Linked DNA regions of Yarrowia lipolytica. The main gene of each other region encodes a partner of the protein of the gene in region 2 in a complex. Links are inferred from orthologs where the notes say so. Each region holds a gene or a part of one and is shown on either strand. Other genes may lie near its edges.

Evidence for each region. The genes of interacting proteins can lie anywhere in the genome.
Region 1: YALI1_E24343g (region 2) and YALI1_D15952g share a complex: the UniProt entries of both Saccharomyces cerevisiae proteins name them as parts of the mitochondrial large ribosomal subunit. The link is inferred for Yarrowia lipolytica from reciprocal best matches to the Saccharomyces cerevisiae genes YML6 and MRPL1.

What each region holds. Positions count from the first base shown.
Region 1 is NC_090773.1:1,592,999-1,597,680, forward strand, and holds YALI1_D15952g (mitochondrial 54S ribosomal protein uL1m), read right to left. Parts: upstream 2,296-4,682; coding exon 1,411-2,295; downstream 1-1,410. Other genes in the region: YALI1_D15937g (uncharacterized protein), read right to left, coding at 1-742; YALI1_D15963g (mitochondrial 54S ribosomal protein bL34m), read right to left, coding at 2,924-3,319; YALI1_D15965g (uncharacterized protein), read left to right, coding at 3,594-3,989; YALI1_D15974g (uncharacterized protein), read left to right, coding at 4,470-4,682. UniProt on the Saccharomyces cerevisiae protein: Component of the mitochondrial ribosome (mitoribosome), a dedicated translation machinery responsible for the synthesis of mitochondrial genome-encoded proteins, including at least some of the essential transmembrane subunits of the mitochondrial respiratory chain.
Region 2 is NC_090774.1:2,432,086-2,436,664, forward strand, and holds YALI1_E24343g (mitochondrial 54S ribosomal protein uL4m), read right to left. Parts: upstream 2,217-4,579; coding exon 1,401-2,216; downstream 1-1,400. Other genes in the region: YALI1_E24318g (uncharacterized protein), read left to right, coding at 1-1,197; YALI1_E24360g (uncharacterized protein), read right to left, coding at 2,908-3,924. UniProt on the Saccharomyces cerevisiae protein: Component of the mitochondrial ribosome (mitoribosome), a dedicated translation machinery responsible for the synthesis of mitochondrial genome-encoded proteins, including at least some of the essential transmembrane subunits of the mitochondrial respiratory chain.

The DNA.
Region 1 (4,682 bases), on a different chromosome or scaffold from region 2:
AGGTGGAGAGGTCACCGGGGGTCAGCACGTACTGGTTGTCCACAATCTCTTCGGGTTTTCGGGACAGCTCCGCGTGGTGTTCTACCTGGGTGTCAACGTTGAAGGTGGCCACATGTTGCAGTTCATTGAGTAGAGGGTCGAAATACTCCTTCAGAGCCGGCTGAATGTCCCAGGATACAGGAACGCCTCCGCCGTGGAACAGCGAGAACGTGATGTAGTACTGGGGCGAGTAGATGACGGCAAGATCGTCCTTGGACTTGTTTCGACCCACGAGCCGCAGAAAGTCCTGAATCTCGGGTTTGTAGACAGACAGGATAGATGCCACGGTGGCCTTGACGAGATCGTTCTTGGGTGACGTGATCTTGATATCCTGGCCCTGGGTGTCGACTGTGTAGGTGGGCGTGTCTGCTTCGGCAATGTGGATCTGGACGCCTTCGGTGGACGGAATGATACCCCAGCCGTAGATGTTCTGGGACGCCAGTTGCTGGGCCAACTCGGCCTCAATATCCTTGGCCGTATCAGAATCAATGCCCGAGAAGACCACAGGCACCTTGATGTGCAGCTCCGACGTGACGGTGCTGTCGTAGTAGGCCATCTCATCGTGGGGGAGAGGACTTCGCTCGACTGAGGTGGTGTAGAGCCATAAAGGCATGCCGAGAAGCACAAAGGTGAGAATGTACGCCACCAGAATGTTGGCGCGACGCTCCACGTGCTCCTTGGGTTCCTTGGGGATGAGAACCATGATTGTGTACTTGGTAGTGACACGCTGATGATGGTGTACGTGTATGCGTATGCACTTGACGATGTGAGTTTATTATCGTACCGTGCTGGAGCTGGGGCTAAGTAGAGTTTGAAGTAGAAGGCTAAGTAATATTAGTTGGACGGTGTCGTTGGAGCTTCGATATCTCCAAACATTGCGTGAGCAATGTGTATTTATCATTTGTATTTGTTGGTAAAAGTGGATTTCTGTATATAATGGGATTTGTTCCTAGTCGTTATCTTTTCTGGGGCACAAATAAAGGACCCCCAGCTGACTTGTTAGTCAACAAAATCTAACAAAATAGGCCTTAACTACACTGCACTTTTGCTCTTGTGGATTGGAAAGTATAGTTGCAAAGTAACTGTCAAGTAAAAGTAGTTAACTTGAAATTTCGAAATGAATATATCTCGAAATGTTGTATGACAAACATGTATTGTCTTCGCACATTAGTTGGATACCGAGTGCGCTCTATCTGCTGATGTACTCGTTTCTACACCAGCATGTCTGGAAACGGTATTTTACACCCCCAGTGCACTTTGCTTTCCAACTAATCTCTACTACTGAACCTAACTAAAACTGCCCTACAAGCTGGCAGACACAAGACAACACAAGACAACAAAAGTTGTTATCCAATCTATCATATATACAAATTACGCATCAATGGTAATGGCGGGAGAGTGGAAGGACCGCAGAGTGGTTCGGGCCAGAGACGAGGGCTTGGCGGTGTCTCGGGTCTTTGCAATCTGTTCTCGGACTGCTCGAGACGCCGCAGCAATGTTTTCCACAATCTCTGTGTCGGTAAAGGAAGCGTCTCCGACCTTGATGGAGAGACAGCCGGCAGACTCTCGGAAGGGCATGACTCCGGAGGTGGAGGCGATGATCTCGGCGACATCGTTGCCCACAGTGCCCTTTTTGGCGGAGGGCATCATTCCCTTAGGACCCAGCACTCGGCCGAGTCGGCCCATTTTGCCAATGATTTCGGGTGTGGCATAGCACTTGTTGAAGTCGAGGGGCTGTTTGCCCGACAGCAGGTCATCAATGAGCTCTTGTCCGCCCACCAGAGAAGCTCCGGCCTCCTTAGCAGCCTGGGCCTGGGCCTCGTTGGAGGTGATGACACAGATGGTGTCGCTGCCGATGGCCTTGGGCAGTCGCACGGTGCCCGTGATGCCGTTGGTTCCCTTCTTGGCCACAATAGACCACGACACCACTATCGATGTGGAGGACGAGGGCCAGCCCACCTCCATGGCCCGAATGTACCGCAGAGCCAGGGGGAAGTCCATGAGCAGCGGGTGCGACAGACGGTCTCGGGCCTTTCGCATCTGCTGGGCAAACTTGGCCCGCTCCTTTCGCTGGGTGATCTCTCGCAGTCGTTCCTTTTCTCGTCGGATCACCAGCTCCTTGTAACTGGGCTGGTTGACGGCTCCGGAGGTGTCCTTCTTCTTCTTGCCGAGCGCCACAGCCGAGGTCGACAGCGGCCGCACGCTCTGGGCAACGCCACCGGCCGTCAGCTTGGCCGCGTGTGTGAGTCTGAGCATTTTTTGGTGGTGGTTGGATGTAGTGTGATGTGATGTGGTGAAAAATTAAGCTGTGAAATTTCATCTCGACTTTGGGAGTTTCTCTACAGTTTACAGGAGCGACCAGTGGAGTCAATTTGTGGGGTGTTGGTGGGGTTGAAGCGGCTAGATTGAGTGAGGAAAAGCTGGCTTAAGACGTGGGATTTTCATCTTTTGCTCCACTCCTTCCGGTTTCTCCAGTCTCAGCTCACCCACTTCCTTTTTGCCCAAAAGGATCACTTTTGGATCCCCTACATACACCTTATGAGTGGATGGATGAAAGCGGTGAAAAAAGATGATCTGATACATAAAAGATGATCTGATACTTTGAGGAAGAGGCGACTGGTTTCGGAGGGTACATTTGAAGTTATTCCACCCGTTTGTTTCGTTTCTTTTGCCCCAATCCCGTGGCACATTCTTCTTAGCAGACATTCATTGGTCATCGTACGAGTACAAGGCCAACTTGCCTGATGGATTCATTCTTGGTCAAGAATCCATCGTACTATATTACAAGTACTTGTACGACTACAACTGATACCATAGCTACTGCCATCTTCATTGTCTCATACCAATAATCCTCTTTGCTATATACATTAGTTGTGGTGTCCTTCTAGTGGGTCAGGAACCACCGACCCTTGAGAGTCCGTCGCTTGATAATCTTTCGGCCGGTTCGAGATCGCGATCGGGCCAGAAAGCCAAGAGATCGCTTTCGCTTTCGGACCGAGGGCTGGTAGTCGATACCTCGCACGTATCGTCGCTGGGAGGCGCCGGAAAAGGGCGTGAGGAAGGGCAGAGTGGCGGTAGAGCCCTGGGCGAGCGCGGAGGCGACCCCTGAGGCCGCGGGAATGCACGACGGCACGGAGTTGGGCTGGATCATGGTGGCGGATCGCTGTTTGATAGCGGTCAGAGGGTTCACGTTGCCTCCGAGCGTGGCCATGTTTCGGGCCATGAGGGGTGCGGGTCGGACCACCTTGGTTGCAGCGGCTCTGGTGATGATTCTGAGCATGGCTGGGTTGGGGGCTTGTTGATATGGTACAGTACCGACGGGTTACTTGTCTGGAGTGTTGTGCCGTTCTCTGCTATTAATATATTTGTAGGCACTTTTTCACATATTGTCCCGACTCCCACATTATACCCTAACCCGAATTTCCCCATTCAGCTGCAAGCTCAATTTTATTTGCCTTCACTGCGCACTTGTGGATCACGCTGTTGCAAAAAAAAAAATCCCGTTGGCTTGATCCCGACGTACTAACCGCGCCGCCCCCACCACAACCACCAGCATGTCGTCCTACAAAGCGCCCGGCCCCACGGCCATAGAAGTGCATTCGTCCAAGGCGATCCCCAACGGCGAGGCCGAGGAGATCATCACACAGTACATCGATGCCACCACCGAGAGCACAGACCAGCTGCTGTCCATGTCCAGCGACAGCATGCCGTCGGTCGTGTCGCGAAACCACGCCATGATCCAGCAGCTGCGACGGGTCCAGCGAGACCTGCGGGGCTTGCCTCCGTTGGAGGCTGAAGAGAAGGAGGTGGAGAACAAGGACAAGGGGGATTCCAACACAACCACCGACGGAGGAGATAACGATAACCAGGAGGAGTCTGAGGATTCCGACGACTCTGAAGAGTCTGAGGAGACCAATGAGGACCAGGACCAAGACCAGGAAGAGGCTTAAGAGATGCTGTCGTCCGCCGCTTTGGCTCTACCACACCTTTACTGTCTACTCACCCTCTCCCCCCACCCACCCCCCTGTGTCGACACAGGGTAGCATTATTAATGTACATTAACTATAGAATCAACATGTTTACTTAGAGAGGTGTGTAGTGTAGCTGGAGAGTGGGTCGTTACGGGTTTGGCATATCGGATCTGGTGTAGGGCATTCCCAGGCTGTCGGATCAACTGGCCAGATGTCAATCCCGTTGATATTTTGATAGCTACAGTTTCGGTAGGGGAGTGTATTATGTTGCCCCTGTTCACATAGAATAAATGGGGCGAATTTGCAATCTCAAACGTCCTGGGGATCAGCCCTTTCTCCCCACTTCTTCCCGTCTCCATCCTTGTCTATCGCCCATCATGCAGATCTAACTTCTATCTAAAAAATCTCCTTTCACATTTCACCAACTCGTTTCACACTCGACAACCCATTCCCTACAGCATGGTGGTCGAATCGGTGCCCAGCAAAGAGCGGTTCACCGCGACCAGGCCGCAGGATAACGAGCAGCAGCACGTGCACGAGGTGTACAACCAGATTGCGTCGCACTTCTCCAACACGCGATACAAGCCGTGGCCCATTGTGGAAAAGTTTCTGCGGGACCAAAAGGACCACTCGGTGGGCGTGGACATTGGCTGTGGCAACGGCAAGTACATG
Region 2 (4,579 bases):
ATGATTCTCAAGAAGCTCAGACCCTCCATCTGGCTTCCTCTCATTATGGTTGCCTGGGGCATCGTCATGACTTTGATGGGGCTTGTCAAGAACTACCATGGGCTTCTGATCTGTCGAATTTTTCTCGGAGTGACTGAAGCTGGTCTTTATCCTGGTGTCGGCTACTACCTCACTCTGTGGTATTGCCGATCAGAGATCCAGTTTAGACAGGCAATGTTCTTCTCCGCAGCCTCCATTGCCGGTGCCTTTTCTGGTCTGCTGGCTTTCGGTATTGGAAAAATGAAGGGCGTGGCTGGACTTCACGGATGGCAATGGATCTTTATTCTCGAGGGAATTGCTACGGTTGTGGTCGCCTTCATCGCCTTCTTCTTCGTCCATGACTTCCCTGAAACAGCTCGATTCCTCACCGAAGAAGAGCGGGAGTTTGTCGTGTGGAGACTCAAGTATGATGGCAACGACAATAGTGCCGGGGGTGAACTGGTAGCGCAGAACGACTCTCGTGACTGGAAGTACGTCTGGGCCGCCTTCACCGATATCCAGGTCTACGTCCACCTGCTTCTCTACTTCGGAGTTGTGGTTCCTCTCTACGGCATCTCCCTCTTCCTTCCCACCATTGTCAACAACCTGGGATACACCTCCTCCACAGCTCAGCTCATGACTATCCCTATCTACGTGATTGCTGCTATAGCTTCGGTGACTCAAGCTTGGTTCTCGGACAGATATGGTAAGAGATCTCCCTTCATTCTCGTCAACCTGCTATTCATGCTGTTTGGCTACTTGTTGGCCTTCAACCTGTCTCACAAAAAACCAACTGCAGTCTACGTGGGCTGCTACTTCATCGCACTAGGACTGTACCCAGCTCTGCCCGCTATTGTCTCGTGGATGTCCAACAACGTCGCAGGTACATACAAACGAGCTGTAGCTATGGCCATCCAGATTGGCATTGGAAACCTCTCTGGGGCCATTGCGTCCAACATTTACCGAGCCGAAGACAAGCCCGAGTTCAAGCTGGGTCACGGTATGGAGATCATGTTTGTTTGCATTGGAATCGTGTCTCTCATTGTGCTCAACTTTGGCTACCACGTTGTCAACAAGAGGAAGCAGGCCAAGATTGAGTCGGGCGAATGTGAGCATCTTACCAGTGCCGAGCTGTCTGAAATGGGCGACAGGTCTCCCTATTTCCGATACAGACACTAGTTATTTATATATCGAATTAATTCATTTCTTGCAAGACAACCAGCAACCAGCCAGCAGCATATCACTAGCGTACAAAACAATCGTCGAGCACGTACTTACACATCTGTACCGGTACAGTATGTACTCGTACCGTATCCCACACAACAACCACCACCTCGACTACCACGCCGCCATCAAACAGCAAAATGCTTATACTATATACACTAATTAGTCCAGGGCTTGAAGGAGCCGAAGAGATCCCGGGTGGGATACTTGGCGGCCAGCCACTTGAGCACGTCGTACTCAACAACCACATTTCGGGCCTTGAGAATGTCTCGCACCTCAATGAACTCCTTGGGCACAATGTCGGCCTTGAGGTTGTCCTTTCCGAGCACAGAGTCCAGAATGGGTCGCTCGGTGTCAACCAGGAAAACGGTCATCTCCTTCTTACCAAAGCCAAGCTCGCCCTGCAGCCACTGTTGTCCAAAGGTTGTGTTGTCCTTGACGGACTCTGGCAGCTCACAGGGGCCGTCAACTACAAAAAGTCGACCCTCCTGGTACTGTGACGTAAGGGCAGCTCGGATGGCCGAGGCGTACACCTGCTTGGGCAGTCCGGTGGCCATCTTGTTGGGGGCATTTCTGTCGAGCGCGAAACCTCCCTGTGTTCGTGTGGGTGAACCAGCATCACCGACTCGGGCCTTACCCATTCCCTTCTGCTTGTGAAGCTTTCGGGTAGAGTAGCCCATCTGCTCTCGACCAGGGGGATTGGAGGCTCCTACTCGCTGTCGATCAGCCTCGTAGACCACGGCTCTCCACAGCAGATCCTTGTGGACCTGAGCACCCAGCATTTGCGAGGTGACAGGCTGTAGACGTGTGGGCTCAAGAGAGGGAAACTGTCGCACCGAGGTGAGAACGAACTCGGGCAACTTTGCTGCGCCGGGCAGTGTGTCGACGGTGGCCTGCTTGGCAGCTCCGGAGGCCTCGGAGGCAAAGCCCCGTCGTAGCCCGGAGGTCAGTCCTGGAATTAGTCGCCGGATCATGTTGTGTTTCGTCTCGGGTTATGGTGCTGCAGATTTTTGAATTTTCACCAGGTGCACATTTTACCCTGGAGTCACGTGAGCAGAGCGGGAGGAGCAGTGGTGCTGGGATAAATAAATATAGTGATTTATAACCATCAAAGCAGCGCGAGTAAAAAAATGGATTAGGAGATTTATTTCGAGCGACTAGAACTTTCGGCATCCATATCTTACTCTTTTATCTTGTACCCCTTCATACGGGTACCGTCCTGTTGTTATAGTACGTACAGTTCTAAGTATTTATATACAAAGGCCGACCAAAGAACAAAGTACAACCTGAACTATAGTTTTTAAAGATTTCACCCGATAAAATACAACTCATGCCTACTGTAGTATCAATATAGTACACAGTCATACACATGCTACGGTACACCAGGTCACCTAAAAGGTATAGCACATGCAATGATATATTACTCGTTCTGTGGATTAGAGAACCCACCATTTTTCCAATGTTCGCCTCAATCGTAATGTCGTCGTTGTTTTTGTGTCTTCCCCTCGATGTGCACCCTGAATATTCGATTATGCGGACCTAGACCTTGCTACCAGGTTTGCTAGTATTAGTTATTGGTCGATTGCGGGGACGAAAAAGAAAAAAATGCGAATAGCCAGAATCACCTCTCCCACTACGCGTTGTTCAACACGCACCAACTGTCACTCACCCGCTGGTAATCCGCACAATCCACTCTGCTAAGCGCGTCACCATGTAGTTTGTGCAAACGTGGCCCACGCCCTCCTGGCACACGTACTCGGGGCTACCGCCATTCTTTTTGAAATGCTCGATCCACTCATGCGAGTATGAGTCCTTGACCAACGCATCGTCCTCACCGGTGGCAATGAAGACATGTGTGTCTGTAGACATGTCAAATACCCGTGCGTCGTCACGGGCAATGATGTCCTTTAATGGCTCGGGAATCAGGTATTGGCACTGAGGGTTGGTGTTTTTGAGGGAGCCTGTCTTTTGCCGGTGCTGGTCCAGCCGGTCCTCGAATAGCGTGCGCATGCTGGGCGATCCGATTATTGGTGCAATGGCAAAAATGTCCTGGTCCTTGTTGCGGGCCACAGATCGCCAGGCAATGTGGCCTCCCAGTGACACTCCAGACACAATGTTGTACCATTTGGGTGCCACGTTGCGGAGCTGTGCGTCCAGCACTGCTGGCAGGTACTGCATGACCAGCAGCAGGTCGTCTGTGGAGCCGTCGATGATGGACATCATATCCACGGCATGGGTGTCGTTTCCTGCCTCCCAATCAAGAGACCGTTGGGCCGTGAGAGTTCGCGAGCCGTGGTTTCGCAGATCGAACGTCACGGCAATGTAGTTTGTCCAGGGCGTGTACGAGTGCCGTCGCGAGGTGTGTGAATCGGTTCTTGTCACATGCGGTCGGGATGCCTTGAGAGCCTCGATCCCGGTGTTGGTGGCAGGCAGGTCTCGCTGGTCGGCCTCGGGCGACCGGTCCACAGCTGCCTCGCGACACCGAGAGAGCAGTTCGTGGGCCAGATATTCGGTGTACATGTAGTTCTGCAGCCTGGGATGGGCCAGGTAAAGCACTCCGACGGCCTTGCACCGTTTGGGCAGCTCTTCGAGGCCGTAGACCATGGTGCGGATGCCACCCACGTCGACCACCTTTTTGGACGAGACGTGGGTGTGGGGCTGCAAATGAAACGCTTCGTCCATTATTCCATATCGTGTGGGGCGAAGGAAGAGAGTGTGAGTGTAATATGGGGGGAGGGAGAAGGGGTGTCCGAATTTAGGTGTAAATGTGAAACTGTGTGGGTTTCGGGGTCGGGGCTTCAGGGTTTCGAGCTCGATAAGACTATGGGACTGTGGTTGGCGCAAGAGCCACAGATAACAGCCATTTCTATGCTCGCCTAGAGGCCGGAGCTAGCTCCACACAGCCGTCCACGCTATCAGGACCTGTCGTTTTGGCGTCCACTTGGATCACAGTCCATTCCCAACCGGGCAACCCAGGGTTCGGGCTCCCCTTAAAGGGTCCCCTTCGGTGCATGTCCTGCACATGGTCTTAGCAGTTGAGCTGTAGCAAGTCAAATGGATGTGATGAGAAAAAGTAATCTGGTGTTGCTGTCGGGCACACTGTGCATTAGCCAATAACTATACGGCTTCTTCTTCAAGTGAGGGGTCCCACAAGACTCAGCTATCCACCGAAGCTCGATTGGACATTCCACAACTGTTGTTTAAAAGCACGCCGTCTACTTGTACCGACCCATCAGCACATCTCCTGATGCGTGGACATATGCCGGTCGGGGGCTTCATTGTGCTGTACGTTCAGTAATCTCCTCCCTCCACTGGTCTAACTCGCGGCACCGCTTGC